Linked DNA regions of Ovis aries. The protein of the gene in region 1 purifies or fractionates together with the protein of each later gene. This does not show direct contact. Links are inferred from orthologs where the notes say so. Each region holds a gene or a part of one and is shown on either strand. Other genes may lie near its edges. The genes, in order: VAPA, ARHGEF12, VPS13A, OSBPL9, ZFPL1, RASSF3 and VPS13C.

What was found.
Region 2: the proteins of VAPA (region 1) and ARHGEF12 purify together in Homo sapiens (affinity purification with mass spectrometry; 5 studies listed by BioGRID and IntAct, counting the BioPlex papers as one, with this or other methods). This does not show direct contact. The link is inferred for Ovis aries from reciprocal best matches to the Homo sapiens genes VAPA and ARHGEF12.
Region 3: the proteins of VAPA (region 1) and VPS13A purify together in Homo sapiens (co-immunoprecipitation; 3 studies listed by BioGRID and IntAct, counting the BioPlex papers as one, with this or other methods). This does not show direct contact. The link is inferred for Ovis aries from reciprocal best matches to the Homo sapiens genes VAPA and VPS13A.
Region 4: the proteins of VAPA (region 1) and OSBPL9 purify together in Homo sapiens (co-immunoprecipitation; 5 studies listed by BioGRID and IntAct, counting the BioPlex papers as one, with this or other methods). This does not show direct contact. The link is inferred for Ovis aries from reciprocal best matches to the Homo sapiens genes VAPA and OSBPL9.
Region 5: the proteins of VAPA (region 1) and ZFPL1 purify together in Homo sapiens (co-immunoprecipitation; 3 studies listed by BioGRID and IntAct, counting the BioPlex papers as one, with this or other methods). This does not show direct contact. The link is inferred for Ovis aries from reciprocal best matches to the Homo sapiens genes VAPA and ZFPL1.
Region 6: the proteins of VAPA (region 1) and RASSF3 purify together in Homo sapiens (co-immunoprecipitation; 3 studies listed by BioGRID and IntAct, with this or other methods). This does not show direct contact. The link is inferred for Ovis aries from reciprocal best matches to the Homo sapiens genes VAPA and RASSF3.
Region 7: the proteins of VAPA (region 1) and VPS13C purify together in Homo sapiens (co-immunoprecipitation; 3 studies listed by BioGRID and IntAct, counting the BioPlex papers as one, with this or other methods). This does not show direct contact. The link is inferred for Ovis aries from reciprocal best matches to the Homo sapiens genes VAPA and VPS13C.

Annotation. Positions count from the first base shown.
Region 1 is NC_056076.1:42,407,413-42,411,855, reverse strand, and holds the start of VAPA (vesicle-associated membrane protein-associated protein A), read right to left. Parts: upstream 2,949-4,443; 5' UTR 2,698-2,948; coding exon 2,619-2,697; intron 1-2,618. UniProt on the Homo sapiens protein: Endoplasmic reticulum (ER)-anchored protein that mediates the formation of contact sites between the ER and endosomes via interaction with FFAT motif-containing proteins such as STARD3 or WDR44.
Region 2 is NC_056068.1:30,761,318-30,765,145, reverse strand, and holds part of ARHGEF12 (rho guanine nucleotide exchange factor 12), read right to left. Parts: intron 1,185-3,828; coding exon 1,142-1,184; intron 855-1,141; coding exon 749-854; intron 296-748; coding exon 158-295; intron 1-157. UniProt on the Homo sapiens protein: May play a role in the regulation of RhoA GTPase by guanine nucleotide-binding alpha-12 (GNA12) and alpha-13 (GNA13). Acts as guanine nucleotide exchange factor (GEF) for RhoA GTPase and may act as GTPase-activating protein (GAP) for GNA12 and GNA13.
Region 3 is NC_056055.1:59,659,158-59,663,699, forward strand, and holds the start of VPS13A (intermembrane lipid transfer protein VPS13A), read right to left. Parts: upstream 3,012-4,542; 5' UTR 2,863-3,011; coding exon 2,763-2,862; intron 1-2,762. UniProt on the Homo sapiens protein: Mediates the transfer of lipids between membranes at organelle contact sites. Binds phospholipids. Required for the formation or stabilization of ER-mitochondria contact sites which enable transfer of lipids between the ER and mitochondria.
Region 4 is NC_056054.1:26,203,477-26,206,558, reverse strand, and holds part of OSBPL9 (oxysterol-binding protein-related protein 9), read right to left. Parts: intron 2,852-3,082; coding exon 2,741-2,851; intron 2,497-2,740; coding exon 2,433-2,496; intron 2,314-2,432; coding exon 2,173-2,313; intron 749-2,172; coding exon 670-748; intron 158-669; coding exon 66-157; intron 1-65. UniProt on the Homo sapiens protein: Interacts with OSBPL11 to function as lipid transfer proteins.
Region 5 is NC_056074.1:39,745,720-39,750,103, reverse strand, and holds the start of ZFPL1 (zinc finger protein-like 1), read right to left. Parts: upstream 2,837-4,384; 5' UTR 2,784-2,836; exon of another isoform or gene 2,683-2,783; intron 2,620-2,682; exon of another isoform or gene 2,498-2,619; intron 2,366-2,497; 5' UTR 2,358-2,365; coding exon 2,256-2,357; intron 1,948-2,255; coding exon 1,836-1,947; intron 745-1,835; coding exon 551-744; intron 459-550; coding exon 386-458; intron 313-385; coding exon 166-312; intron 1-165. Other genes in the region: sororin, read left to right, coding at 3,066-3,111, 3,340-3,434, 3,508-3,687. UniProt on the Homo sapiens protein: Required for cis-Golgi integrity and efficient ER to Golgi transport. Involved in the maintenance of the integrity of the cis-Golgi, possibly via its interaction with GOLGA2/GM130.
Region 6 is NC_056056.1:155,283,615-155,287,442, forward strand, and holds part of RASSF3 (ras association domain-containing protein 3), read right to left. Parts: intron 2,549-3,828; coding exon 2,441-2,548; intron 563-2,440; coding exon 334-562; intron 1-333.
Region 7 is NC_056060.1:46,362,976-46,366,803, reverse strand, and holds part of VPS13C (intermembrane lipid transfer protein VPS13C), read right to left. Parts: intron 3,162-3,828; coding exon 2,772-3,161; intron 1,351-2,771; coding exon 1,246-1,350; intron 524-1,245; coding exon 359-523; intron 1-358. UniProt on the Homo sapiens protein: Mediates the transfer of lipids between membranes at organelle contact sites. Necessary for proper mitochondrial function and maintenance of mitochondrial transmembrane potential.

The DNA.
Region 1 (4,443 bases):
GTAAAAAAATATCCTTTAACAGACTTCCACTTCAACTAAAAACTACAGATGATTTAAAGTAGAGTTTAAAGATTTTTTTCACACCATCATCAAATTAGTATGAAGAGAATTGCTGATTCCAAATGAGTCTCCTCACTTAATGCTGAACTGGTCTTTGGAATACAGAGAGGTTTCCATCAAGAACTTATTTACCTCTGACTAAAAGAATAACTTTTAAGGAAGGAAGGAATCAAATGGCACCAAATGTAGCCTCCCAATTCATCCTACCCTCTGCTTTCCCAATCCTTCCCATCCTCTACTCTTACAGAGGCACACAGCACACCGTGGGTGCCTAAGCACAAGCCAACCTTTTCTCACCTCAGGAAAGGAGCAAACCATTCCCATCACCTGCCCTCCCACTTCCCCATTTGAAAGCAAGCCAATAAAGATGTCGGATAAGACTCTTCAGAGTCCCTTGGACTTCAAGCAGATCAAACTGGTCAATCCTAAAGAAAATCAACCCTGAATAGCCATTGGAAGGACTGATGTTGATGCTGAAGCTCCAATACTTTGGCAACCTGATGCGAAGAGCCAACTCATTGGAAAAGATCCTGATGTTGGGAAAAACTCAAGGCAAAAAGAAGGGCGTGGCAGAGGATGAGATGGTTAAATAGCATCACCCAACAATGAGCAAATTCCGGGAGACAGTGCAGGAGGGTGGAGCCCAATGCGCTACAGTACAGCCCATGGGGGTCACAGAGCCATACAGGACTTTGCGACTGAGCAACTCCTCCGAAAACAAGTGGGGAGGAAGGAAGAAGGGGCTTCTTTCCTCATACTTGTTTTGCCTCTGTTACAGCATCTGAGTGCCTCTTCCGTCTGGGAGTTCAAGCACTAAGAAAAAAACATGTTTTACTCCTTAAACTACAAACTAACTGTGGGTCTTTTCTCCACCTTGCTTAGCACTGAATCCCCAAATATAAGCTGATGTTTGCTGAATAAATTATTCATTGTTGAATACTCTTCATCAAATATAGAGATGGTACAAAGCTTTCAATAGTGTTTGCTAAGTAAATGGCCCAGCTGACTATGTGTCCCTATAAACTTTTCCATGAAATCCTTTTTTAAAAAAGTCAACTAATGTCCAAACTTTAATAGGCCTTGTGAATTACTTTCATCCATAACACAAGAATCCGTTCTGTAATCATAGCTAGTAATTCTTCAATACCTAAAATAAGCATCTGGCAAGTCTCTGGGTCGGGGTTTTGGTTGTTCCTTTAACTTGCCTCTTTGCTATTATTAGCCTCTTACTACTGAAACGGTAAAGAATCCAAGGAAGATTTCGCCGGTAAAAAGTTCACCCGCAATTCAAGAGACTTAAGAAACGGAGATTCGATTCCGGGGTGGGGAAGATCCCCTGGAGAAGGAAATGACAACCCACGGCAGTATTCCTGCCTGGAGAATCCCATGGACAGACGAGCCTGGCGGGCTACAGTCCATGGAATCAGCAGAGACAGAGACGACTGAGCCAGGAAGCATGTCATTGAAACATACTGAAGTATGACTTCACACTGACTTCTCTAAGAAGAAACTGTCCGACTTATAAATACTTCTTGACCTAAAACTAGTTTTAACGGCGTCCAAGTCCCTAATGGCAACACACACGGATTAACAAGGAGAAAACTTCCTCTGTAAAATCAGCCTCCCCCAAAATAAGTACAAAACACTTAAATTCTCAGAAGACCTACCTACCATAAAGGTTTACATTAAATTCTTCCATTCTCAGGTAACAGCTAGAGTTAGGTATTACCTGAACTTTGGTATTCATGATTCCCCTAAGTCTTTTATTTCCCCCTTTCAGCGAAAACTTTGTAAACTCACGTTACGCCCATAAACTTGCTACAATAAAATGCACTTAGGAAGCCTCTCTAAGTATTTCGTGGAGTCGTCTAAAAAGCCGAATTCTCACCTAACACGCGGCTCACTGACATGTCCATTCAAAGAAACTCGCAAATGAACTGAAGACCTTGCAAAATACAGGGTTTATACAACACTACTCTCATAGCGGCAGAATACAACATCTTAAAGCTCCTAAAACTATTTAAAACCTGTCCTACGGAAACCAAGGTGTTTTCTTTCGCACTCCACTTCTTTCGGTTTGATTCTCTAAAGCACTGGAGCGGCCTCACAGTCCCAAGCCCCTGTGCTCGTGGGGCCCCGGGAATCAAGGACGAGTCACGGGCTCCGCAAGCTCCCCGCGCCCGCAGCATCCCCAGCAGAACTGCCCGAGTCGCTCCCGCGGCCCCCGGGTCCCGGCGCAGGTGACGCCCCGCGCAGGTGTCGCCCGCCGCCTCCGGCCCACTGACGCAAAGCCCGGCCCGCGCCCGCGCCAGACCGACGACCGCCCAGCCTGCCCCGAGTCCCCGGCCAGCCGCCCACGCCCGGACCCCGCCCCGGCCCGCGGGCCAAGGACGAGGCCGCCGCCGCAGCGAGGCGCCCGCGGGCCGCAAGATGGCGGCGGGAGGGGCGCGCGCGCCCGCGCGGGCGGGGCCGGGTCGGGCGCGGGCGGCGGGGGAGGGGGCCCACCGGGCGCGGTCGCCACCCCAAGCCCGCCGCTCCCGCAGGCCGCCCCGGCCCACCTTTGAATTTGAGGTCTGTGGGCGGGTCGAGGACCAGGATCTGCTCGTGCTTCGCCATGGTCCCGGAGGCGGACGCCATCGGAGACAGCGCAGAGCGGGGGCGCGCCCGCGGCGGGTCGCTGGCTGAGGGCGGGGGGCGGCGGCGGCGCGGGTCGGCCCGGCTCGACGCAGGGCCAGCGCTCGGCTCCCGAACCCGACACCCGCCGCTCTGTCGGCGACTAGCTGGGCCGCTCGCCGGTCCGCAGCCCCGGGTCTCACAACTGACTCAACCCCACACCAGCCGCCGCGGCCACGCGCACTGCGATCTTCGGCGCCCCACGTGACGCCTCTGCGTGCCTACGTGCGCGCCCCGGCGGCCGCGATTTCTCGCGCCTGGCCCGCCCTCCACGCCGCCAGGCGCGACCGGCTGCTGCGCCTGCGCGTCCCTGGCCCGCCGCGCTCTGAGCCTAGCCCAGCTGTCAAGGGAGCGGGCGTGGACGGGGCGGAGCTCAGCTCCCTGGGACTGACGCGGCGCGCACCGCAGAGCGGGAGGGCGCAATCCTCGGTCACGTTTAGCTGCAGTTACGAGACTAGACTGGAAAACCCGCTATGGTAGCCCATCGCCATCTGCCAAGCGGGAATGGCAAATAGCAGAAGTAGGAGCGAACCGGATCGTGGACTACAACTCCCAGCATGCTACGGGCGGGGCGGGGTCTCCAGCCGGACCGGTCCTCCTGCGGCTCTGCGTGGTGCTTGCTGGGAATTGTAGTAGCGGCTGAGCGCGGGCGGGAAGAAGGGTCGGTTGGAGGCTGGGGTGACGCGTGCCAACACTCATTTTGGTTCCCAAAGGATGTCTCATATGCCCTGAAAAAAGAAAAACAACTTTTGGAGACTGCCCCGAGGTTCCTCGGTTAGAAGTATAGAAGCTTCCCAGAGGAAAACATGCCAGGATCTGTTAGTATGCTCCCTCCCTAATTCTATCCATCCCTCCGTCGGTACAGCTGTGGTTCTCCAGTCCAAGCGCTCCTGCTTCCCGAATTCTCTTCTGGGATGCAAAAGCCCTTGAAGAAACACACCTCCTCTGTCGAGGACGCGTCGTTGGGGACCTGATGAGGCAAGCGTTATCAAACTGGAAATAATAGTCAGAATCTACAGTGTTTGTTGCTCTGTCTCATCCTCAGTTTTGATTGATAACGATGAGCCCAAAGCAAAACAGTTGTCACGTTCACATGTTGGCAGAGAATTCCATCTGCAGCATTTAAGATAGCCTGTAGTAAACTGAGCTGAAGGAGGAAAAAATGCCAACAGCAGAGTTGCTGACCAGTCCTTAACGGATCGCCAGGGTAGTCGGGGACAGGAACGTGAAACAAATGAGTGTGCTGTAAATCAACCGTCATGGTGCTGCTGGAATTCAAATCCCTGGGAAGCACCGCCAAACAACGCTCAAATGATGCTGCCGCGGTGGAGGAGGAGCCCAGTTGGTCTAGAAAACAAACCAGACAAATGGGACAGTGGCCTAGCCGTGGACACAGAGTCCACGTCCTCACTGCAGTCCAGGCATCGGAACTCACTTAGGAACAGCTCTCCGGAGTAGCTAACCTAGCATGCGCACCAGGCTGTAGGCTGTGCCCAAGGAGAGCAAGTATACCTTCAACAGGCTGCCAGAGCTTAATTTGTTTGAAATGCGTGCGTCCTCAGTCCTGTCGACTCCCTGCGACCCCATGGACTGTAGCCCGCCAAGACACTCTGTCCAGGGGATTCTCCAGGCAAGAACACTGGAGTGGGTTGCCATTTTCTTCTCCAGGAGGGTCTTCTGGACCCAGGGATGGAAACCATGTCACCTGCC
Region 2 (3,828 bases), on another chromosome or scaffold:
TGTCATCTACGATATCAGCATAAAGTTTAGTACTATCACAAGGCAAACTGCTCTACATAAACAACCCGACACACCTTCTAAATTTGCTCAAATGTACTTCACACATAATTATCACCTCAGTAGAGAGGGCGTTTCTACATGTATTTCTATTACTTACAACACTTCTTCAATTTTGGCGACAATCTGTTCTGCACATGCCCGTTCTTTCTCCAAAGTTAACCGGTCCTTGTCTCGCTCGACATCAAGTTTAGTCAGTTCGCTTTCAGCCAAGGTCAGCCCCATGCTGCGCTTCTGCCTAAAGGGAATAGGAGAAATTTCCTGAGGTAGCCTAGAGGGTAATTTCCTGAGTTACCTAGAGGGTACTATCTCCCTCTGGAGATGCTTCACCAGAGTTTCCATAGTTATGAATTTCTAGCAACAGGTAAAATGTCACGGTTTTCTGTGTGGGGGCCCACGTCACCTGGGACACTGGAGGAAGAAAATTCTAGAGGAAGTCACTCAACAGAACACATATCTTGAAGGACACACTTGGCACAGACAGCTACTACGCTCAATTCCTGCCAGCCATAAGGAAAGGGGACCATGCACTCTCAGTACCATGCCAACCTTTCGACGCCGGAAGTTCATTAGGTTTTAGTAACAATGACAGAGACCATATGTTATGCCAAGGAATGTATAACCTGTTCCTACCTAAAAAGAAAATTAATTCAGGACAACCATATCAGCTTCTGTCGACCACAAGGCTTACCGAAAATCTTCCAAGTGCCTCTGAACTTCTGGGTGGACTCTTTCTTGCATAGTTTGGATATAGTGGCGATGTAGATCCTCAGGAATAAGCTCTGGTCGTCTTTTTTCTGCATAAATACAAGAAATCACCTGATCTAAAGGCACATTTTGTGCATTGTAACTGGCACTACTTGGTGTGAACTTAACTTGAAGTAAGATAAAGAGATAATATATTTTAAGTATTTTAATCTTAGAACTCACATTTCATTTACTCTTAAATGTATTATAGGCTCTTTTACTGTTGTGATTCATATGACCTACTAGTTACTGTGTAACAGATAAAACCTCTAGAGAAGAGCTGAGCTACCTATCTACAGAGATGTAATCCTCTAGCACATTGGTGCTCCAGACTTACCTAGATCTACTGATATTTCATCAGGAACAGAAACCTTCAGGTGCTAAAACAAAAATGCAAACAAAAAGTGAAATTGCACTAAGGGTCTTTCAGGATCCATATCAGTACTTACACAAAATAAAGAGAAAGAACTTGAATACCTATAAGTATATTCATGTATAAGCTCATTTTGGGAGTACCGCCCATCTAAATTTCCCAGCTTTGGAATATTCTATGGTTTGAACTTGAAAAGAAGCCCACTCCCCAAGGATCATGTTATAAAGGAAATACCTAAAATCTGTTTTACTAGATGACTGAATGCTTTTGTGCCTTATTTATTCCTGTTGGCTTTGGCTTTCTAGAATGAATGAATATTGCTTTGGGCTTTCGAGAATCACTGGTTAAGATAATCGGTCACACACTGTTTGAATCAATATAGGTAAAAACCTAAACTATATGTAGATCACCATATGAAAACTTTACTCATGTATAACAATTTTATTCACTGTATTTTAGACACTCACACTGAAGACCATGATATTCCCAATCATATTGGTATATATAGCTAAAGAACCCTCATCAGAAGTCATGTTCCCAACGAGAAAGTGCTGGATATCAACGTTGAAGCTCTGGAGTCTCAAATCTCTAGTTCTTACATCTGCAGTTTTTACTACTGAAATAAGATGACCATGTCATAATTAACTTCTTCTTAGCTATGTTTTTTCACATGACAACTGCAGTCTGTGAGCCCATTACCAGATAATTTTCTCCTGTTAATTTGGGAAATGTCTCAGAAAAAATTATTTTGCATTTGGAGAAAGTATATTATCTTCTTCAAATTTACTCTGTATTATACACCCACTTAAGTCATATCCTTCCGGAATTTAAAAAAAAATTAATGTAAGATCTGAAGTTTTACATCTGAAAATAAGTTACTGCTAAAAATTGAGAGCTCTAAAATTTATTTGAAGAGCAGTTAAAATGGATTTCAAAGCTTTCTCTTTATCTGAGGTTGCCATAAAGTAGCTCAAGCCAACTTTCCAGAAATACTTCTAGCACAAATATAAGAAAGTATATATATGTTCATTTCTGTATGTGGGTATTTATATGAAATAATATCACCTGTGGCATAAAAGAGCCACGTGGCAGAGCTGTTCTCCTGGGTTCCCTTATCCTACTGCTCTCCACCCGGGTACCCTTTCCCAATAAAATCTCTTGCTTTGTCAGCACACGTGTCTCCTCAGACAATTCATTTCCAAGTGTTAGACAAGAGCCCAGTTTCGGGCCCTGGAAGAGGTCCTCCTTCCTGCAACAAATGGCGACCCAGATGGGACTCTTCTTGGCTGAGACTGACATCCTGACCACTCGGGGTACTCAGGGGCCAGCTTGCCTGCCAGTGGACCAGACCCAGCGGCCACAACTGGGACCCTTTTGTCCCTGGTCTCCTCCTGACGAGGACAACTGGCCACAGTGCCCCAACTGGTAAGGAACAAGAGACTTTATTGACCTCTCTCCCCTTCCCTCTCCCTTTCCTCTCCTTAACGCTTCCTATCCTTCCCTGTTTTTCTAGTCCCCCGGTCCTGGACGCAGGAATCTGGTCAAAGGGCCCTCAGCCTGAGCTGAGGATTGGAGACTGATCATCTCCCCTTGGCAGCATAAAAGAATAATTAGGAAATTAATCTAGCAGGGTTCTTACACTTTGATGTTAATAAGCTTATATAGACCACGAGCAGCAAAATATAAGAAATCACCTGATCTAAAGGCACATTCTGTGCCTTAGCATGGAATGCTCTTAAGAAATGTCAAGTTTACATAAACTTCAGTATACTGTCATTTCTTCATTGAAGAAAATCATCTTAATAAATATAATGTGTAATATTTTAAACAATGGCATTATAATCAGAACCCTAACTAATCCACTCAGCAACTATCTCAGTGACCACTCTGTCAGGATCTATTCAGTTTTGGGGAAACAGCAGTGAACAAACAGAACAAAAGACATCTGCCCTAATGGAGCTTACATTCAGGGCAGAAGAGCAGGAATACAGATGGATAAAATTAAAAAAATAAATAAATTCTGTGGACAAAAATAACACAGGAAAGGTGACAGAAAGCAAGGGGGATGAAAGTTTAAGTAAACTGGTCAGGGAAGGTCTCACTGAGAAGGTACTGAAAAGGGAACTCCCCAGGTCGGTAGGTGCCCAATATGCTACTGGAGATCAGTGGAGAAATAACTCCAGAAAGAATGAAGGGATGGAGCCAAAGAAAAAACAATACCCCGCTGTGGATGTGACTGGTGATAGAAGCAAGGTCCGATGCTGTAAAGAGCAACAGGAACCTGGAATGTCAGGTCCATGAATCAAGGCAAATTGGAAGCGGTCAAACAGGAGATGGCAAGAGTGAACATCAACATTCTAGGAATCAGCGAACTAAAACGGACTGGAGTGGGTGAATTTAACTCAGATGACCATTATATCTACTACTGTGGGCAGGAATCCCTTAGAAGAAATGGAGTAGCCATCATAGTCAACAAAAGAGTCCGAAATGCAGTACCTGGATGCAATCTCAAAAACAACAGAATGATCTCTGTTCGTTTCCAAGGCAAACCATTCAATATCACGGTAATCCAAGTCTACGCCCCAACCAGTAATGCTGAAGAAGCTGAAGTTGAATGGTTCTATGAAGATCTACAAGACCTTTTAGAACTA
Region 3 (4,542 bases), on another chromosome or scaffold:
TAAGTGAAAGAAGCCAGAAACAAGAGGCCATGTATATTATGATTCAATTTACATGAAACGTCCAGAATTGGCAACCAATAGAAGACAAAAAGTGTATTAGTGATTGCCAGAGAACATGGGGATAAATTTGTAGTGATTGTTAACAGGTATGAGATCTATTTTTGGAGTGTTGAAAATGTTCTGGAATTAGATGTAGTGACAGTTGCACAATTTTGATGCATGCCACACACGAATGCCTCTCAAATTTATTTCATTTAGTAAGTGAAAGGAATGAACTAAGAAATCAGGTCCACAAAGATACATACCACATAATTCCATTTATATGGCACTCTAGAAAAGGCAAAACTGTAGGGATGGAAAACAACCAATGGTTGCCAGGAGGAAGGGTAGGAGTTGGGTGGGAGACTACAAAGGGGCAGCAGAGGGAATTCTGAGATGTGGAAAACAGTGGCTGACTTTATTTTTCTGGGCTCCAAAATCACTGCAGATGGTGACTGCAGCCATGAAATTAAAAGATGCTTACTCCTTGGAAGGAAAGTTATGACCAACCTAGATAGCATATTCAAAAGCAGAGACATTACTTTGCCAACAAAGGTCTGTCTAGTCAAGGTTATGGTTTTTCCAGTCGTCATGTATGGATGTGAGAGCTGGACTGTGAATAAAACTGAGTGCCAAAGAACTGATGCTTTTAAACTGTGGTGTTGGAGAAGACTCTTGAGAGTTCCCTGGACTGCAAGGAGATCCAACCAGTCCATCCTAAAGGAGATCAGTCCTGGGTGTTCATTGGAAGGACTGATGCTGAAGCTGAAACTCCAATACTTTGGCCACCTGATGTGAAGAGCTGACTCATTGGAAAAGACCCTGATGTTGGGAAAGATTGAGGGCAGCAGAAGGGGATGACAGAGGATGAGATGGTTGGATGGCATCACCAACTCAATGGACATGAGTTTGGGTAAACCCCGAGAGTTGGTGAGGGACAGGGAGGCCTGGTGAGCTGTGGTCCACGGGGTTACAAAGAGTCTGACGCGACTGAGCGACTGAACTGATGTTTCTTCTGTATCAAGGTTGTGATGCTGGATACATGCTTCCTTGTATTTGTCAAACTGATAGAACTGTGCATCACAAGAGTGAATTTAGTGTATGAGTATTTCAAATTAACATATCCACTGATAAATCAAACTCTACACCAACCTCCACCTTGAAGTAGAAGCAATTTTCAACTATAGGTTAAAAGCAAAGCATATCACAAAATGTTCTCAAGGCTTCCTACTGAGGTGGGTGGAGACAAGTTTTATCATTACTATTTTACAAATGAAAAGCAGCACAGATTAAACTATCTGTAAATTTCTGGTACTAGTCCGAGATGCTGAGCTAGCATTTATATTCTTCATTCCTGCAGTCCCACTCTCTACCAAGGTAAAAGTGAAAGTGAAAGTGAAGTCGTGTCCAACTCTTTGCAACCCCATGAACAGTAGCCTGCACCAGGCTCCTCCATCCATGGGATTTTCTAGGCAAGAGTACTGGAGTGGCTTGCCATTTCCTTCTCCAGGTAATCTTTCTGACCCAGGGATCGAACCCAGGTCTCCCGTATTGTAGACAAATGCTTTACCATCTGAGCCACCAGGGAAGGTACTAGATATCAACAGTAGTTAACAAGAGGTTTTCTTTATCAAACTAAATTACTTATTTACACTATTAAGTAAAGGAGAAATATCACGATAAATAAGTACTTTAGAAGAAAGCTGTCAAGTGTGTGCATATTCAAAAAGACTAAAATTTTAAAATATATCTATATATTACTCACACAAGGAGATTAACCCTAGCTTTGGCCTGGGAAAGACATTTCACAAGAAAAAGAATCTAATTTCTAATGGGTGTTTAAAATAGATAAGCGTGTAATACAAAAACAGGCGGAAGCACAGCACTAAAATTGAAACGCCAAATAAAGAAATACACCAGAACGGATACAAAGTAAAGCATCAGTCCTTCACCATCCAACTTCACATCTCACTTAGCGTAAGGACAGCGCACCTAGCTTCTTTAAAATTTCAGTAATTCAATGTGACCCACAAAGCCCCAAACCCTTAACAGGCTTGATACACTGCTGGGTTCAGGTTGTAAATTGACAACACACCATCAATCTTTCGAGCGATCCTGCACAGGAGTTTTCGCTCTGTTATCAGCCGAACCCAGGCGAGCCTCCCGGACTCGAGGCGGTGAGGCCGGAAGGGGGAGCGGAGCAGCCAGCAGGGTTTGGCCGTACCCCGAGGCTGGGCGCGGAAGGAGGACGGCATCTCCGGTCACAGCTCCTTGCTTTCACGTGCGGGGCGGCGTGCGGCCCTCCGTGGGCTGCCCGGGCCTCCATCACAATCCAAGGGGCGAAAATGACAGGGACCAGACCAAGCCCAGGTGTGTCTCGAGGCCGCCCCTCGCCCAACACAGCTGAAACCAGACCGCGAAGGGCAGAAAAGGGCGGCTCGGTGGAATTTGAACTCCAGACCCTTGGAGTCCACTGTGGGCCCCTTGGGCCGAAAGGCGGCGGGGGGCGGGGGGGGTGGCCTTTTCATCCGGCATCAGAGACCCCAATCCCCGCCGGCCAAAACACTAACTCGCCGGTGGAGGCCCGGCAACTGCCTCCCGGCTCTACGTAACAGGACCCCAAACGAGTCGGCGGCAGGTGGCAGAGTGGGGCCCGAGGCCCCAGGAAGGCAGGGCCGGCTCTGTCAACGGAAGCACGGGAGGCGAGATGGCGGTCTCGTTACCTGCCCAGATGCCCAGACTGAGCTGGGACGTGTCCAGGTTCACCACATAGTCCCCCAAGAACCGGTTCAACACGTCCACGACCACCGACTCGAACACCATCTTCCTCAGCCGCGGTGGACGCGGCGCTTCTTCTTCCTGCGCCTGCCCTCTCGAGCCCCTCTCACGAGACTGCTCGGTTCACCGGCTCCTGGGCGGCTCCGACCGTGGTGCCACCAGCGCCGCACGCGTAGCCCCGCCACGAGCCCTATGAGGGGCGGAGGCGGTCGCTCGCGCTACGCATGTGCGGCTCGGGATCCAGAGTTGGGCGGAGCGCGAGGCCCGAGAAAAAGCTAAGGCGGCTGCGCGGCCGCCTCTCCAGCGTTTGCCCTAGTCGGGCGGAGCGCGGCTCCTTTTTCTCCTCGGCCCCGCCTCTTCCCCCATCGCCAGGCAACCGAACAGGTACCTGGAGTTACTGGACATTTCTGACCCCGCCCCCACCGGCAGCCTGGCCTCCCCACTGGTGCCGGGGGCGGGGGCGGGGGCGGGGGCGGGGCGGGGGCGGGGGCGGGGGACGGGACGCCAGGGGGCGCGGCGGTTACTCCGTGCCTGGAACGCCCCGCCCCTAACTGAGGAGACACGCCCCCACGTGGGCAGGGAGGTCCTAAATCTGGGTAAAGCGGCTGCAGATTAAAAGTGCCTTCCGCATTTGTTAGGCTGGAGGCTCTCAAGTGGAGTCCCGGGGAGCTACGCACTTATTATTACAAGTGGGGAGGTACAGGCGGAACCCGGGCAGTGCTGGCTTCCCAGGTCAGTCCAGCCTGAGTGTCTGGATGCCTGTAACTGCCCCGTTCAGTCCTACGAACGCTTGGAGAGGTTACACAGTCGATGACTTAACTTCCGTGGCTGCAAATCGAGAGAGGAAAGAAAAGTAAATTCTGGGTTGTAATTCCATGGTCCTTTCCCTTCATCTGAGATCGCACTCTCTTGGTCTGGTTATTTAGACGGAGCTGACTTTCGTCCCTTAGAGTCAACCAGTTTTGACTGACACTGCTGAGCGCCCTCCTACGAAGACCTGAAGACCTAAGACTCACAGCCCCTGAGCCTTCACAGAATGACCTTGAATAAATACATAAAAATTAGAGCTCTTTCAGAACCACTCCCACAGCCGTGTTTGGTTTTATACAGAAAGAGGGCCAAAGACCTGAGGTTGTGAAGGCCAAACACGCTGGATGTGAAGTCTGGAGAACTATAATTAATAACCCTCTAAGGATTTAAGAGATCATAAAGGTGGTCATCGGAGAAGGCAATGGCAACCCACTCCAGTACTCTTGTCTGGCAAATCCCATGGACGGAGGAGCCTGGTAGGCTGCAGTCCATGGGGTCGCTAAGGACTGAGTGACTTCACTTTCGCTTTTTACTTTCATGCATTGGAGAAGGAAAATGGCAGCCCATTCCAGTATTCTTGCCTGGAGAATCCCAGGGACGGTGGAGCCTGGTGGGCTGCTATCTATGGGGTCGCACAGAGTCGGATACGACTGAAGCAACTTAGCAGCAGCAGCAAAGGTGGTCATGTATGGATGTGAGACTTGGACAGTGAAGAAGGCTGAGCGCCGAAGAATTGATGCTTTTGAACTGTGGTGTTGGAGAAGACTCTTGAGAGTCCCTTGGACTACAAGGAGATCCAACCAATCCATTCTAAAGGAGATCAGCCCTGGGTGTTCTTTGGAAGGAATGATGCTAAAGCTGAAACTCCAGTACTTTGGCCACCTCATGCAAATTGACTCATTGGAAAAGACTCTG
Region 4 (3,082 bases), on another chromosome or scaffold:
GCCTACGCCTGGCCAATAGCAAGAGCACTGCTGCCACGACTCTATATAGTTCGTTGTCTCCTTACCAGCGGGATTCGTACTCATTCTGATCTTCCAGCTTCCTTACTTTCTTCTTAATTATAGGCAATTTCTTGGTATCTATAAAAACTACATTTTCCTAGAAAACAGAAAAGATAGGTAGATGTTTTATTGTTCACACTATTCTAAGAGAAAAAGTCAACTCTTCCCATTAACAGATTTAATACTGAAATCCCACAATATGTTAGTGATATAGACAATGAGTTCCATATGCAATCTAAAGCCTAAATTGTTTTAAGTCTTGGTAAAGGCTCTTGGTAAAAATAGATATTTTCAATGTGGCTCTGTGTTGGGATGTAATATGATTGGGATGTAATCTCTTGGACTAGCTAAACAACTAATCCTAATGTTAAGTACTCTGAGCACTTTTCCCCATATATTATTGAGTATTTTAAGGGGAGAGGAAAGTAAAAATCATTCTACTACCTGTACTGCTGGGGAAAGGTGGAAGAAGGAAAAGGCTTGGCTTGAAGAGATGGCATTAGAGCTCATCTTGGTGGTTAAAATTTCCAGATGAAGGAAGCCAGAGTAAGGGACAGGCTACGATTCAATGAAGCCTGAAACAAGTGGCAAAACACATGATGTTCTTACCCCTGTTGAGTATTTTGCATACATTACACCATTCCATTCCCCTTCAATTGAGCAGAAAGACTTCTTGTCATTTGGAGAACTACATTAAAAACAAAAAACAAACATTAAAACACATTTGTGTCAGTCTCAAATTGAAATTTCTCTACCAAAGAATCTTGTCAGTTGTGGCCTACCTACCCAGAGCAAACACAGAAGAGCAACTGTAAAGGTAGATTAATCAAACTGGTTTTCTCAGAGCCAACTACAAGAATTAATGCCATAAAGATGCTGCTAATGGATTCAAGATCCCAGAAACTGTGGGTATGAGGAGATATGTTAGGTGCTGGGACCACGGCAGACTACAAACTCAAGGTCTTCACAGTCTAGTGGGGAGACACTGCCACTGAAATTCTGGGTGGAAAGTGCTGTTATGTCCAGGCAACCACGCGAGATCAAGGGCAACACTGCTACGATGAGGGTCAAGGAGGGCTTTGCTTAAGGATACAATGATGGAGACAAGACTTTCATCTTCAGGCTGGGCCATAATATTAAGATGTTATCTGAGAAGCCCACCAAGCACTCTTTCAGAAGGCAGTCTATTATAAATTACTGTGATTGGCCAAAAAATCTGCTAGCAGTTCCTATTGGTGCTGGCTGCTTTAAGGAACTCTGGGAAGCAGGCCCACCCATGTCTTTGTTCTGGACATCCTTTTCCCCTGTCTGAGGGGAGCAGCCACATTATAGTGGTGACTTGTGCTGCTCCCTAAGCTCTGCCCCTATTTTCTGACTGCAGTAATATTTTGGATTTCACAGTGTTCCTTAGTAAACTTCATCTTTTGTTCATGGTTCCTTCCTCCTTCCTTCCTTCCAAGAATTTTCTGGATGTTGATTCCATCATCAAAATTAAATTATCTCCCTAAAAAACGGGTTAACCAATCCTGTGTCTGCCATCTGCAACACTGCTCCCAGTGAGGCCTCTGAGGACAGAGAAATCCCTGCAGGGTCTCCTTGTCTAGGCAGGCTCTGAACCCAACTGACTGCTGACTTGGACAACACAGACGTCTTCATCTAATCCTGGAGCGTCAAACAGAACCAAACAAAGATACAATGGTTACTGTTTTTCCCCAGCAAAGGCACACAAAAAAACAAGGACCATAAGGGCTTTGAGACACTATAGTGGGTGTCACAGGGTCTACTGTATGGACAAGCTCATGATCCAATCCAGCAATAATGAGTTAAGCATACATAATCTGGGTTGGCTACGAGATCCAGGAAGACTCCTTAAGTTCCTATTTGCAAGTCAGGTTCCTAGGAAGGAAATCCCACCAGTGACCTCAGATTGTTCTTAGGTCTCCTTCTGAGATGGGATTTTAGGAAGAGACATGAAACACAGCATGTAAAATAAGTTTACAAAGACAGGACCATTAGAATGGTCATTCTTGGTGGAAGTTATAGTTCACGACAAAAGGAAAACTATTTTAGAGATACAGAAGGAGCATCGAAGCAGAAAAACAAAATACCTACAAAATCTCAGCAGTAATTCTGTGCTTCTTGCCCCCATAGAAAGGTTTAGTGTGGAAGACGATATTTGCACTATAGCCAGTTTTGGAACAATTAATACTGCATTCTCCGCCTAGTTCCACCCAGGGCACTGTGAGGATAGACCTGCAAAATCAAAAGTTTCAGTAAGGCTGACAGTTCAGAGGAAAGAAAGGAGGGGCACAACTTAAAGAATAGCAGGGCCTACTGCTCACGCATCAGAGGAACGGAACTGCTCTACTTGCCTGCCATAACCATTGGGGAATGTGAGAATGTAATGTTCGTCATGCTCTAGACACGAGACACAGCCTGTGGAGAGAAGGGATGGAATCTCAGGTAAGCAACTGATGGAATCTCCATTCAGTTTAGGGATAATCACTCTTGCATCTCAACCTGGCTCTCACCCCCAACACACTTGCTTCCCTGTACACAATGACTTCCAGTCTGACTTTCTGGGGTCATTTCCTCTTACTAGACAGATGGCCAGCACATATAAGAATGACAAAGAGTTCTCCCATCAACACTGTAGTCCACCCAAAGCCCACAGACTTACCCTGCCCTATGTTGTGCACCCCAATTGACATCCCAAGGAATTTTGACTTGGTCCAGATATGAGCATTGAATTGTATCTTCTTATTAAAACACTCAGCATAAAAGGCTGAAACTGAAGAGAAATTGTTTTGTTTAGTGCACTATATAGCCTCATTTTATTTATAAACATACACACCATAAACATACATGCCCCCCACCCCCAACTCCCTTAACCCAGAGAAACAACTGGCTGCATAGGGAAAATCCTTTACCTTTCAAAGAACATCCTTGAATGTGGTCAGGAATTACCCACCTGCCCTTTACACCCTGTTTCCCCCAGTGCAAGCCACTGTTCAGGACCACA
Region 5 (4,384 bases), on another chromosome or scaffold:
CCTAGCACTTTTCAGCCTGACAGAGCATATTGGGATCGTGGGGAGGTGACGTCTGATGGAACAGGAAGGGTTCTGTGGGTGGGTGGGTGGGTGGACTGCCGAGCTCCCTCCACATACCCGCCCCCCATTCTATCCCCATCTCGCCTGGACAATTCCCCAGCTCACCATGAGTCAGAGGCTCTGGATTGCCCATGTGGATCACCGTGTGCTGTTCAGGCCGGCTCGGGGAGGCAGGGGGCCGGGGGGCTTGGCTGTAGAAGGTTGGGGCAGCAGAAGCACTGGCTGTCTCTTCCTGTTCAGGGCTACCGCTGGCTATGGGCAGGAAGAGAGCGGTCAGCAGGGTGGGAAGGCAAGGACCCCATCAGCAGTGGAGGGTACCACTTACCATTAAAGCTGGACCAGTCAGAGAACTCGGATGTGTTGAGGGGTTCAGGCTCTGGGCTCACCAGCTCGTCAATCTGGAGGAAAGAACTAATGTCACCAGTCTGCCCAGTGCTGTCCCGACCCACCCCTCTGGCCCAGGTGGGACCCAGGGCAGAAAGATTCTCACCAGAGGAAGACCCAGTCCTGCCCGGGCCCAGTTGACCGTGGCCAGCTTCTCTCTCAGCGCAGAGGCCACGGGGCCAGCCAGGTTGGTTGGAGGGAAGATGGGGCCACTGCAGCTGGGGCACTGGTAGCCAGCAGGTGCTGTGTTTCGGGGGAGCTGGGCAGCACGCTCATTGAGACAGGCCCAGTGGAAGAGATCTTAGAGGCCACGAAGTAGTGGAGGAAAGACATGAAGAAGACACTTAGGACCCCTAGTCCACTAGCCCACTGCAGAGATATCTGCACACGTGTGTAAGCCCAGGGCCCCCTCCTTCCCAGGTAGATTATATCAGTGTACCTTAAGACTTTGGTCTTCCTGGCCACCACTGTCTAAGATAGGGCAGATGCTAACAGGCTGCCCAGCCCCTAGGGGGTCGGGGGAAGTGGGATGAATATGCCACCTACCCTCTCCGGGAGTCCTCTCTGCACCTGCACTCATCACAAACTCACTGGGCTAAGAGCTCAAAAGGTTACTAGACATATACACAGGCACCTGGATGCGTGTACACATCCATCGGCACAAATGTACACGTTTATATACACGTAGTCAAACACAAGTGCCATCCCCTATATCCACACTTATAGGCACACTTACTCTCACATACACTCAAGTATGCCAATACCCAAGCATTCACACCCAGGAATTCTGCAACCTCACAACATGCTCATATATTCATATACAACACTGACCCATTCACTCACCCACAGTAGCAATGAATACACTAACAGGTAAAGACACAACACACGTTTAACTCATGAACATATAAACACACACTCACAGTGAGAAACACATACGTTAAGCTCAAAAAGTGGAGCTAAGGCTCTTACAGCAGAGTCGGGTCAAGATCATGACACATGCCTCTGTTGACTTCTTTTAACTGACGTTACTGTGGGAAATTCAGTTCCTCTCTGTGTAATGTTGGAATTAGAAATAGATCCTGAACGTCTGAGAGCCCCCTGCTTTCAGCTCACTACAGGTACAGCCAGCTACTGCTCAGAGCCACAACCACACCTGAGAGATTGGCAGGCAGGAAGCTAGGAGCTTAGTTTTTAGGGAAAAACACTAAGGCCTAGGAAGGGAAAGTGGCTTGCCTGAGCTCACACAGCAGGTAAGTTACCTAGTGGGACCAGAATCTGAGTTCCAGCCTCCCAAGCTTGAAGGTCTCACTGTCCTGCTGCTTGGGGAGCCGCTGGAAACCAGTCACACTGGTCTTGTCCAGATCCCCACCCCCAAGGTGCCCAGGCCTCACCATAACAGATGAGGCGGGTTGTCTCCCGAGCAGCCAGGGGTATGTTACACAGGCGGCAATTGGGGTTGTAATCGCTATCTTGGAGCCACTGCAGGTAGGACTGGACGATGCACTGAAGTGGGAGAAGGGGGTCACAACTGGAGCCAGGGCTCCACAGCCCGTCTCCCCAAGGCCCAGGTGCCTCTTTTTCTGTCATCACAGAGGAGATTCATTCTTTCGTTTGACCAATCAATAAACATTCATTGAGCACATATGTGCCAGACTCTGTCTTAAGCACTGGGGATACAACAGTGAACAAAATAAACTAAGTCCCTGCCCTTGCGGAGCTCCCATTCTAGGGCCAGACCTTTCATTAATTTGGAGGAAAGTCGACGACCTGCCCACCTAGTGCCCTGCTCAGTCTCTAACATGAACACCCACCTTGGCGTGATTGGCTACCAGGCAGTGCTCGCAGACGTTGACCCGGTGTTCGAAGCAGAATAGGTTGGTCACCTTCCTCTTGGGGCACTTGCAAAGTCCCATAGTCGACCCTGAGGAAAGCGTCACAGTTGGCAGGAAGCCAGATTCTGCTGACCTCTACACATTTACCAGCCCAGTTTGTTTCCACTCTTAACTTCCCTAGACACCGCACGTATCCGCTCCAACCCCAAACTCCTGCCCACCGTCTCTCTATATTCTGGGCCACGGCCCCTGCATAAATCCCGCCTCCTGAGACCCCCGCATTCGTCCCTCATCCCATCCTTGGGCAGGCCCCTCCATCAGTCTCTCCAATACCACCGGCCCCGCCCCCAGAGGTCCCTCCTGAGCCCCACCCCCTCCATGCCCCGCCCCCACCTTCTCCACAGACCCCACTCTCTGTGTTACTAATCGGCTGCGGCACCGGTCCTCACGGGCGCGAGGGCCGGTCCGAAGAGCGGAAGGTCAGACCGCGTTCAGCCAAGCTCTCGCCCAGCTCTCTCCAGCTCACAACGCTCCGATTATCCCTCGGCTGCCACGTCTCTTCCGGGTGCGGCGCGCTCTGATGACGTCAGGGTGCCAGTGACCCCGCCCCTGTAGACGCTAGACATGGAGGAGGGTGGAAAAAGGAGTGAGCGGATCTCGCGGCCCTCCCCCTTACGTCACTTCCGCTTCCTCCCGCGCAAGGCGGGTAATTCGAACGTTTACCCTTCGGGTTGGCGCGCGCTCTGGTGGCGGCACCTGCAGCAGAGGGGATAGAGACCAAAGCTAGACATGTCCGAGAGACGAACCCGGTCCGGAGGGGCCGCCCAGTGCCCCGGTGAGCGGAGGGGGCGCGCGGGAGAGGTGGGGTTGAGCCGTTTGAGGGACGCAGTTCGGTGAGGAACCCCCCTCCCCCGCCCGCCGCCCTCCAAGGCTCCCTCGTCTCCTGGCCAGGAAGGCGCCCCCAAAGGGCCTGTTTGGGAACCTTCTCTCTCTTTCTTCAGAACCTGTTGTCTAGACTCAGGCCTAGAGCCCTCCCCTACCTCCTAAATTTTTCTGATTGCAGGACCCAGCGCCCCAACTCCCACTCGGTCTCTGCGGAGGTCCCAGCGGAAATCAGGCTCTGATCTCCCAAACACCCTCCCGGAAATCTTGCCTAAGGTGAGCCTCAGGTTCCTCCTGCCCTGGAAGCCTCTGGGCTAATATAGACCTCATGTTCACTCCTCTTCTCCAGGCGCCTCAGGAGGCTCCAATCAGAAAGCCCATCGTCTTGAAGAAGATCGTGGCCCATACTGTAGAGGTGAGGGCTGAGAGAGGGGTTGTAGGTGGAGAGCCAGGATCGGGAGTCGGCTGTGTGATCAACTCGTTGTCCCCACAGATCACATCCATTAACTCTCCTCGAAGAAGCCCCCGGGTAAGTTCATTTTCATTTTCTTAGTTAAGGGGAGTCCAGGACAGACACTCTACAGCTGGGGTGGGATATAATGGCTGCTCATGTCTTGTGGCTCGGCTGGTAAAGAATCTGCCTGCAATGCGGGAGACCTGGGTTCGATTCCTGGGTTGGGAAGATCCCCTGGCGAAGGGAAAGGCTACCCACTCCAGTATTCTGGCCTGGAGTCGCAAAGAGTTGGACACAAGTGAGCGACTTTCACTCACTCATTCATGTCTGCCCAGGGAGTTGTTTTTGCTGTATTTTGAAACAGTTTGCCTTTGGACACCTGCATATGTTGCCAGGCTTGCTTACTTCCTACACACTTGGTGCGTTTAATGCCTTGGTATTCTCTACCATTTTCCTTTTAAAGTTGAGTTGGATCTTACTACTTTTTCTCCTTTCTAGCCTCTTTTACTCAGTAACTTATAATGTCTTGAACTGTTTTAGCAGAAATTATTGTTAAAGGTGTCTCATTAACAGAAGATCTGCACCTGAAAATATAACGAATGAGAAACGTTACCTGCCTTTGAGTAGCTCCGAGGCTTCTAGTCAACTGGGGAGAAAAACAAGTGATAACATAGTGTGCTGAGGACTGTAATAAAGAAAGTGTAGATGCTGTAAAGATACCTAACCCAGACCAGGTAGCTCAGGGAATGTTTCACAGAGGTGTTTGAACTTA
Region 6 (3,828 bases), on another chromosome or scaffold:
GATCTTTCCAACCCAGGGATCAAACCCGGGTCTCCCACATTGTAGGCAGATGCTTTACCATCTGAGCTACCGGGAAAGCCCAGGAAGAGGGAGGCTATCCCATAAATCCTCCATAAATACCCATCACATAATTCACATACAAATACCTCGGGGCTCGCAGACCGAGAGCTGTCCACCTGAAAAACACAGACAGCCAGGACGCATTCACCATTTATTTCAGAATATGTCCCTGGGCTCTGACATAACTGATACAGGTACATCCACCAGTCTTCCATGAATGAAGTCAAAAGACAGAAACAAAAGCAGGGATCATTTTCATTTCAAGCATGGTACCTTGATCTTCCCTGTGACACCGCTTATAAAGTGCAAACTTGGTAGGGCTCTCGGTCACAAGAAACTTCTTAAGCAGGGCCTCAATCACTTCGCCAACCGTGTTTGTGCTGCTGATGTGAAGGGTGTTCATACAGCCATTGCTACTGGGAGCGGGTTTTCCAGCAGCCTGGGAAGGTTTGCATAGTTCCATCTGTACTTTAATGAAGCCAGTGTAAATCCCATTTGAATTCTGAGGCAGGAAGAAGAACACACACATGAGCTGGGCATTTTAGGGAAGGAGCGTATCAAGACAACAACAGAAAAGGAAGGTGAAACACTCCCTCTCTTGTTCTCTTCTTTTATGGCTTTGCGGCAGAGGCTCACTCAAGGCGGCCCCTCAGGAGATGACCTCGGAAAGGTTAACACACTCCAGCGAAGTGCTTCTCAGGCAAGGTCTGCAGGGCAGATGTGGGGACCAAAGCCTGTGAAGCTGCATGTGAAAGGTCAGGGCCCACGGGTGAGCCTCCCATCCCCTGGCACAGATGCTGGCCAAACCACAGGGCTTGTTAAAGCTTGGGGCCATGTGCAGGCTAACTGCGCAAAGGAAACAACATCTCCAACTGATGACCAGCTATTACACAAAAAAGGAAAGTCACAATTAGGACTCTGAAATACTCAAATAACAAGAAGCAGACGGGAAGAAAACAAGCTATTTTCATTCCTAGTGGCTCCTATGTACCCGCTATTACCAACTTTGCATAAACTATTTTATATAGCGTAGGATTCCCCACTAAGCATGGGATACACAATGAGGCACTTCAGACACCTCAAGCAGCAATATTTTTACAACAAATTCAAGTTACAATGTAAACCACAGACATTATGATACAAACACTTGTGTTTCCTTTTGTTTTTTTGTTTGGCCAGGCCACCCAGCATCCAGGATCCTAATATCCTAACCAGGGCCTCCTGCAGTAGAAACGTGGAGTCCTAACCACTGGACCACAGGTGGTAGACTAACAGGTGGTGTCTTAACTGGCGGTAGAATATTTTAGTTGCTAGAAATAGTTATAATGGTCTGGTCTTCACTTTTAACTTCTAGTATATTCAGAAAAAAATGAATATTGTAATGGTTTATTTAAATGAGCCTTCAGGTTAAGTTATATATAAATGACAGTTAACACAGAACATGAAAAATCTCCTTTATGGGCCATTGTTTTTCTTCCTTTCCACAAGATCAATTTATAATACTAATTCACTCATTTGTGGAAAGTATTATACAACATTTCACTTTTTCTTTTTAATCTTTGAAATGACATGGAAATTTGATCTGTTTTAATCTCCAAGGAGGAGAGAATGTTCTGCTTTGATAAAAACCATGTTTGAAAAAGTAAGACTGGTGGAATAAAGAGGAATAATCTTGAAATTATCTGCTGTCTCCCTTTTTGGGCGGAATCCCACCAGACAGGAATCCTTTCTCACAAGTGTTTTTTTAAAAGCTCCTCCCCAAGGATCACAGAATTCAGTCGGACCTGTTCTAACCAGGTCGCCCTATCCTTTGCAGAGCTCTATCAGTTCAGGGTCGCTAGACGGCCAGGCAGGGCTTCAGGGCCCTGGACACTGGCACCGAGGCATGGCAGGTCCCTCGAGGAAGGCCATCAAGTAGCAGGGCAAGGCCAGACCAGCCAGAGGAACCCGCAGCGGGCTCTGCAATGGTCTTCCCTTCCTGTGTCACCAAGCCTGGTCTTCTCTCTCCTACACCCTCGCTCCCCACTGAGCTTCAAACAGCTCCGGCACAAAGTTGCAGAAAACACAAAGTTGAAACAACAGTGTAGGAAGCTGAGTATTATTAATACACTCAATGCTAAGAACCCTCTGGAGGTCATAACATCTTTCAAAATAAAATTTTAGGATGTGTTGACTGATTTTTGAAATAAAGCAATTTCAAAATACAGCTTTCATTTGAAAGATGCAGAAATATCTGGTTTTCCAGTCCTATATACCTTAATCTTTAAATTTCTGCAAGCGTGATTCAGACATTTTAAAACATACAGACTGTGGTACCAACAACTTATAATTGTCCTTTGACACTTTCAAGCTAAACAGTATTATTAGCACGGGTGCTCACCAAGGTCATCTTCAACTTGTCTGTGACTGCTAAGTTGTATTTATGAACTTTCTCTTTGATTTCCTCTTTGCTGAGGTAATTGTGGGTTTCCTTCTCTTTCTCCACATCCTAGAAGAAAAATAAGCCAAACCATCCATGAGCAATCACAGGAAAAAATGCAGAAGCCAGGATTCTTTTCACATGCCACATAACGATAACTATGAGCACTTTACCTTCTCACACACACACACACACACGCACACACACGCGCGTGCACACACACACGCACACAAACACACATCCTATGAACTTTACAATTTTTATAGCTTTACAGTCTTTATCAGCAAAAGGTATGGTAGTTAGTAAGTGTTAAACTGGCACTAATCACTGACCTGTCAAACACAACTGCCAGAAGGTAATTTAATCTTCCATAGGAAGACACAAGTAGCCAGACTTCCTGGACCCACCCACTCTCAACCCCCACCCCTCCAGTCTCTCCCCCCACACTCTGGAGGGGAGGATTTTAGTGAAGTCCTCTCTTGACTGTGAAAATTTCACTAACTGTTTTGTCTACAGAGCTCAACCAGTGTATGATGTCATGTGACAGCTGATGTCAATCACCGATGGCCACACTCCAGAGTACTGGGGCCCCTGAAACCAGGCATGCCAGGCACCTGACTTAAACGGCATTTGCTTCTCCCAACAACCTAACCAAGCAGGCATTTTAACTTCTGTTTCTAGACGAGATCAAGTTCTAAGACATAAACTAATCTACCAATAAAAACTGCTCTGTAGAAGTGTTGGCACTTACCTGAAAACCTGATCCCAAAGCCTACCCACCCTCAGTAACTCCAAGTACTTCCACCCGGGGTCCTCATTTAATCTTCGTCAGCATCCCCATGTTACAAAAACACTGAGGCTAACAGAGGTCAAGTGGCTTGCCAGGGACAACCCAACTGGTTAAGAGACCAAGCTCGATTCTAATCCAGGTCCTCATGCTGTTTCCACTAAACTGAACAGGCCCCCACCATTCCTGTGTGGGAGTTTGCAAACTTAAAGAAAGGGTGTATAATCAGATTCAAGCCTGGGAAATAAATTCAGAAAAGAGAAGGGTCCTAATAACCTTCAAGATAGAAGATCTGATGATTTAATAACCCCCTAAATAAAAACTTTAAAAAGTACCTCTTTTCCAGCCAGATACATCACCCCATCCTCGCAGCTGCAGGCTATCCGAGTAGGCATTTGCGCCCAACAGGCACTGTGAGCTAGTGTGATAAACACACCCCCACCAGCGAGGAAAGAACTTTAAGGGCATCAAATCCATTCAGGTCTCAAGTTCCTTGACTGGAGACCCAGAGAGAGCTGTGCTGACTATAAGTCATCTCAGGAACTTTTCGATTCCAGTGCTG
Region 7 (3,828 bases), on another chromosome or scaffold:
ATACACGGAAGAACTGTACAAAAAAGATCTTCACGACCCAGATAATCATGATGATGTGATCACTCATCTAGAGCCAGACATCCTGGAATGTGAAGTCAAGTGGGCCTTAGAAAGCGTCACTACGAACAAAGCTAGCGGAGGTGATGGAATTCCAGTTGAGCTCTTTCAAATCCTGAAAGATGATGCTGTGAAAGTGCTGCACTCAATATGCCAGCAAACGGGAAACTCAGCAGTGGCCACAGGACAGGAAAAGGTCAGTTTTCATTCCAATCCCAAAGAAAGCCAACACCAAAGAATGCTCAAACTACCGCAGAATTGTACATTTTAGGAGCCAGTTATATTAAAGGAAAATTATTACCTCTGAAGAAGCAATATAGTTCCATTTATTAGTTGGCAGTGAGCCATCAGATGCAATTTCACCAACTTCTAGTTCTAATGATGACTTGTTCTCAATGGTATAAAAGGGAGTCAAAGTAACTATTCGTGTAAGATTAAAACTGCTCATTTTGATGCTGACACCAACCTGTGGAAAGGAAACAAACAAGTTTATCATTTCCCAGTACTTTACACAGCTTGAAACACACACAGCTATTCACTCACAGTCTTCTTCAAGTATTTTAAAATAGGATTTCTTAAATAGAGTAACTAAAAAGAACCATATTCCATGACTATCTTCTCACTAAGAAGAAAAATTTCAGATCCTTAGTCTGGGACCAGCAGAAACCAATTCAAGAAATATCTATCAGTAATTTAACTAATGATGACTTATAATAACAAACTTAATATTTAAAAATCCTTTACTTTTTCACAGTCCAAAATAAATTGTTTTAAAATCAGTGTACCCTTTCCTTTGCTGCTTTATTCTCTCTGCTATCAATAAAATGAAATAAAAATTTCAATGAGGTAATAAAACAACTAGTATCAGATTATTTAAATTGTTGCAGTGAAATTTAAGATTTATGACGTTTTGGCAGGGAGTGGTATGGAATGTGGATTCTAGTAATTCTGTGTATTTACTAAATTCCTTCCTTAAATGTATTCAAATCACTGTCTTAAACTCTGACAAATTTAGGCTTTGCTTTGATACTAACTGTACTAGAAATAAATAGACAGACATAACGTAATAGTAGACATCCTCCATGTAATACTCTGAATTCACATTTCTATACCCCTGAGGATTTCCAGCTTATTTAGTGAAGAAAACGTGAATGAAATCAGAGGTAAATAAGCCAGCAAAAACCTTACCAGGTACTCCATGTTGTTGGCAGGACACTTCACACATCCATAACTTCCCACTGTATCCAATGAAAAACCACTGGACCACGAACTAGTTGAAATTTTTAATTGTACCTACACCAGAGAACACAGACAATCATATAAGAAATCTAAAACACTGTATTAATTTTATTTGATGGATAGGTGCTAGACCACTAGACATTTATTTAATAACATGAGACACAGAAAAGTATTATCAAAGGCATGCTGCAAGTGGGTAAAGAAGCACAGGAACTCTAGGGGACAATACAATAAAAGCAGAGCTCTAAACTTCCTTTGCATTCACCTCTGCGATGAGTATAATGAATTTAAAGCTGTATACCAATGAGAACTTCTGTTACTTAGGAAGGAATTAAAAAGTAAAGCGATATTTTGCAGTGTCAGGTTTTTGATATAGAGCTAATGAATTCTTAAAACTTTAGCACACACAGGGAATTTATGCTTTTATTATTCAGCAAACAACGAAAAGTGTTGTGATAAGGAGAACGGAAGACACAATACCTGTCCTCAGTAAGCTTCCAACTAAACAGAGACAGAAAATACACACTAATAATTATAAGGCAAGACTTAATGTGATAACAGCCACATAAGAGGGATAAAATCCTATCAAACTGACAGGATAAAAAGCTTACTTATGGCTATGGGAAAAGGTAAAGTTATACAGAAGAAATCTAATTCTGCTCCTCTATTAACCTCCATCTACCCAGCAGATGATAAAAACCTGAGTATAACCACAGGTCAGACACATAAACAGGTACAATATCAAGCATTAATCAACACTTTATGACAGAGGTTCTCAAAGTATGGTTCCAGGCCCTACTCAAGACTACTGAACTGCACTATGGGGGCCTGGCTCAGCAGTCTGTTTTCAAAGCCCTCTAGGTGACTCTGTTGCACATTGAGATTGAGATTGAAAAGCACTGCTCTAACAGAACATGCATGGGATATCTAGCTCTGCTTTAGAGGATCAGAAAATCTTTCACACATGTCAGGCTGGAGCAGAATGTCAAAGCATGAACAGTGATAACGGGAAAACAAGAAGCAGACAGGGAAAGCGTAGGGCAAAAGACATTCTAAGCAGGTGCAGCTACACAAAAGCCCAGAGGTGAGCAATATAAAGATGTGAGTTTGCAAAGGAAAGAAACAACCAGAGCAAAAAGGATCAGATCAGGCCTTAGGCTTTGTTTTTCTCTCGAAGGCCCGCCTTAATCCTTCATACATATGAGGCTCAGTTAAAATAAACCAAATTCAACGGCTCTCTCTTTTGAAACCCCATTGCATCACTGGTAACCTACATAAAGTCAAGCTTTCCACTTGACACTATGTCAAGAACAGAAGTAATTCTAGGGGCACTGGAGAAAAAGATACCCCAGCCTTGGGACACTATTGTTGTTAGTTCCTAATAGCCCACTTAATCATGTAGTCCTTAAAAGTAGTCTTGGATCTAATACATACCAATGACACTGAATAATTTGTTTTTATCAACAAAAACACACCTTATTTTTACTAAAAATGTTCTTCTTCTTGAAAGAGAATAAAACAATATCCCTAAAATCAGCTGGATGTTTCACATGCGTATCTTCTGCACGATACTGGAGAACCCGAGAAGTCTTGTTGATTAGCCAGTAGGGACTGAAAATGGAGAGCTCCATCTGGCTGCCAATTCGCTTGACATGTATTGACAGGTCAACTGTCAACGTTTCTGCGGAGTCAGAAGAAAAACACACAAGGAAGAATTCGGGAAGTGTACTGCATATACGGAAATGTCCATTCCAGTTTTTGCCCTGATATTTCACCAGAACTAATTCCATTATTTCTCCACTGATTCGTGAATGTAGAACATTGGCTGCACTGCCTTCGGTCAGCTCATGAGTTTCTGCTGTTCCCTAAAAACAAACAAAAACTAAATTTGCTTACCAATTTTAAAAAAAATCTCTGCAATAACTTCCCTATCTTATACAAATACTAAATTACCTACCAGATTCACATTAACTGAGAAGTCTTCAAGGTACCATCTTTACGTATTATGAATATCCAACAATTACTAAGGACTAAAAAGAAAACACTGTATCATAGCCAAAGGCAGAAGTTGTCATTCAGCCATCAGCAAGCCAATGGCTGTTAGTTTTGAGAAAAAGTCAGACCCATGTCAAGAATCTAAGGCTGGATGCAAGAACACTGGCTATTTCCATTAAGAGATATGTCATTACACGAGCCACATAACAGCCTGTGCTTCAGCTTCATCCTTTATTCACATTCTACACTTAATGGTTCTCATACAAATAAAAGAAGGAAAGTGATGTCAAACTATTCTGACAAGCTATCTAAGGTGCAACTACTTTATAAATGAGTAATGGCAATATATTTTCAGGCAAGAATACTGGAGCAGGTTGCCACTTCCTTCTCCAAGGGATCTTCCTGACCCAGGGATCACACCTGGGTCTCCTGTGCTGCAGGCAGACTCTTCACTGTCTGAGCAAGAGCTTACTAAATAAATACTACCTAGTTCATCTAGTTAATTTTAGTCTCCACAAGACAAGCGTGGCTTCTTGT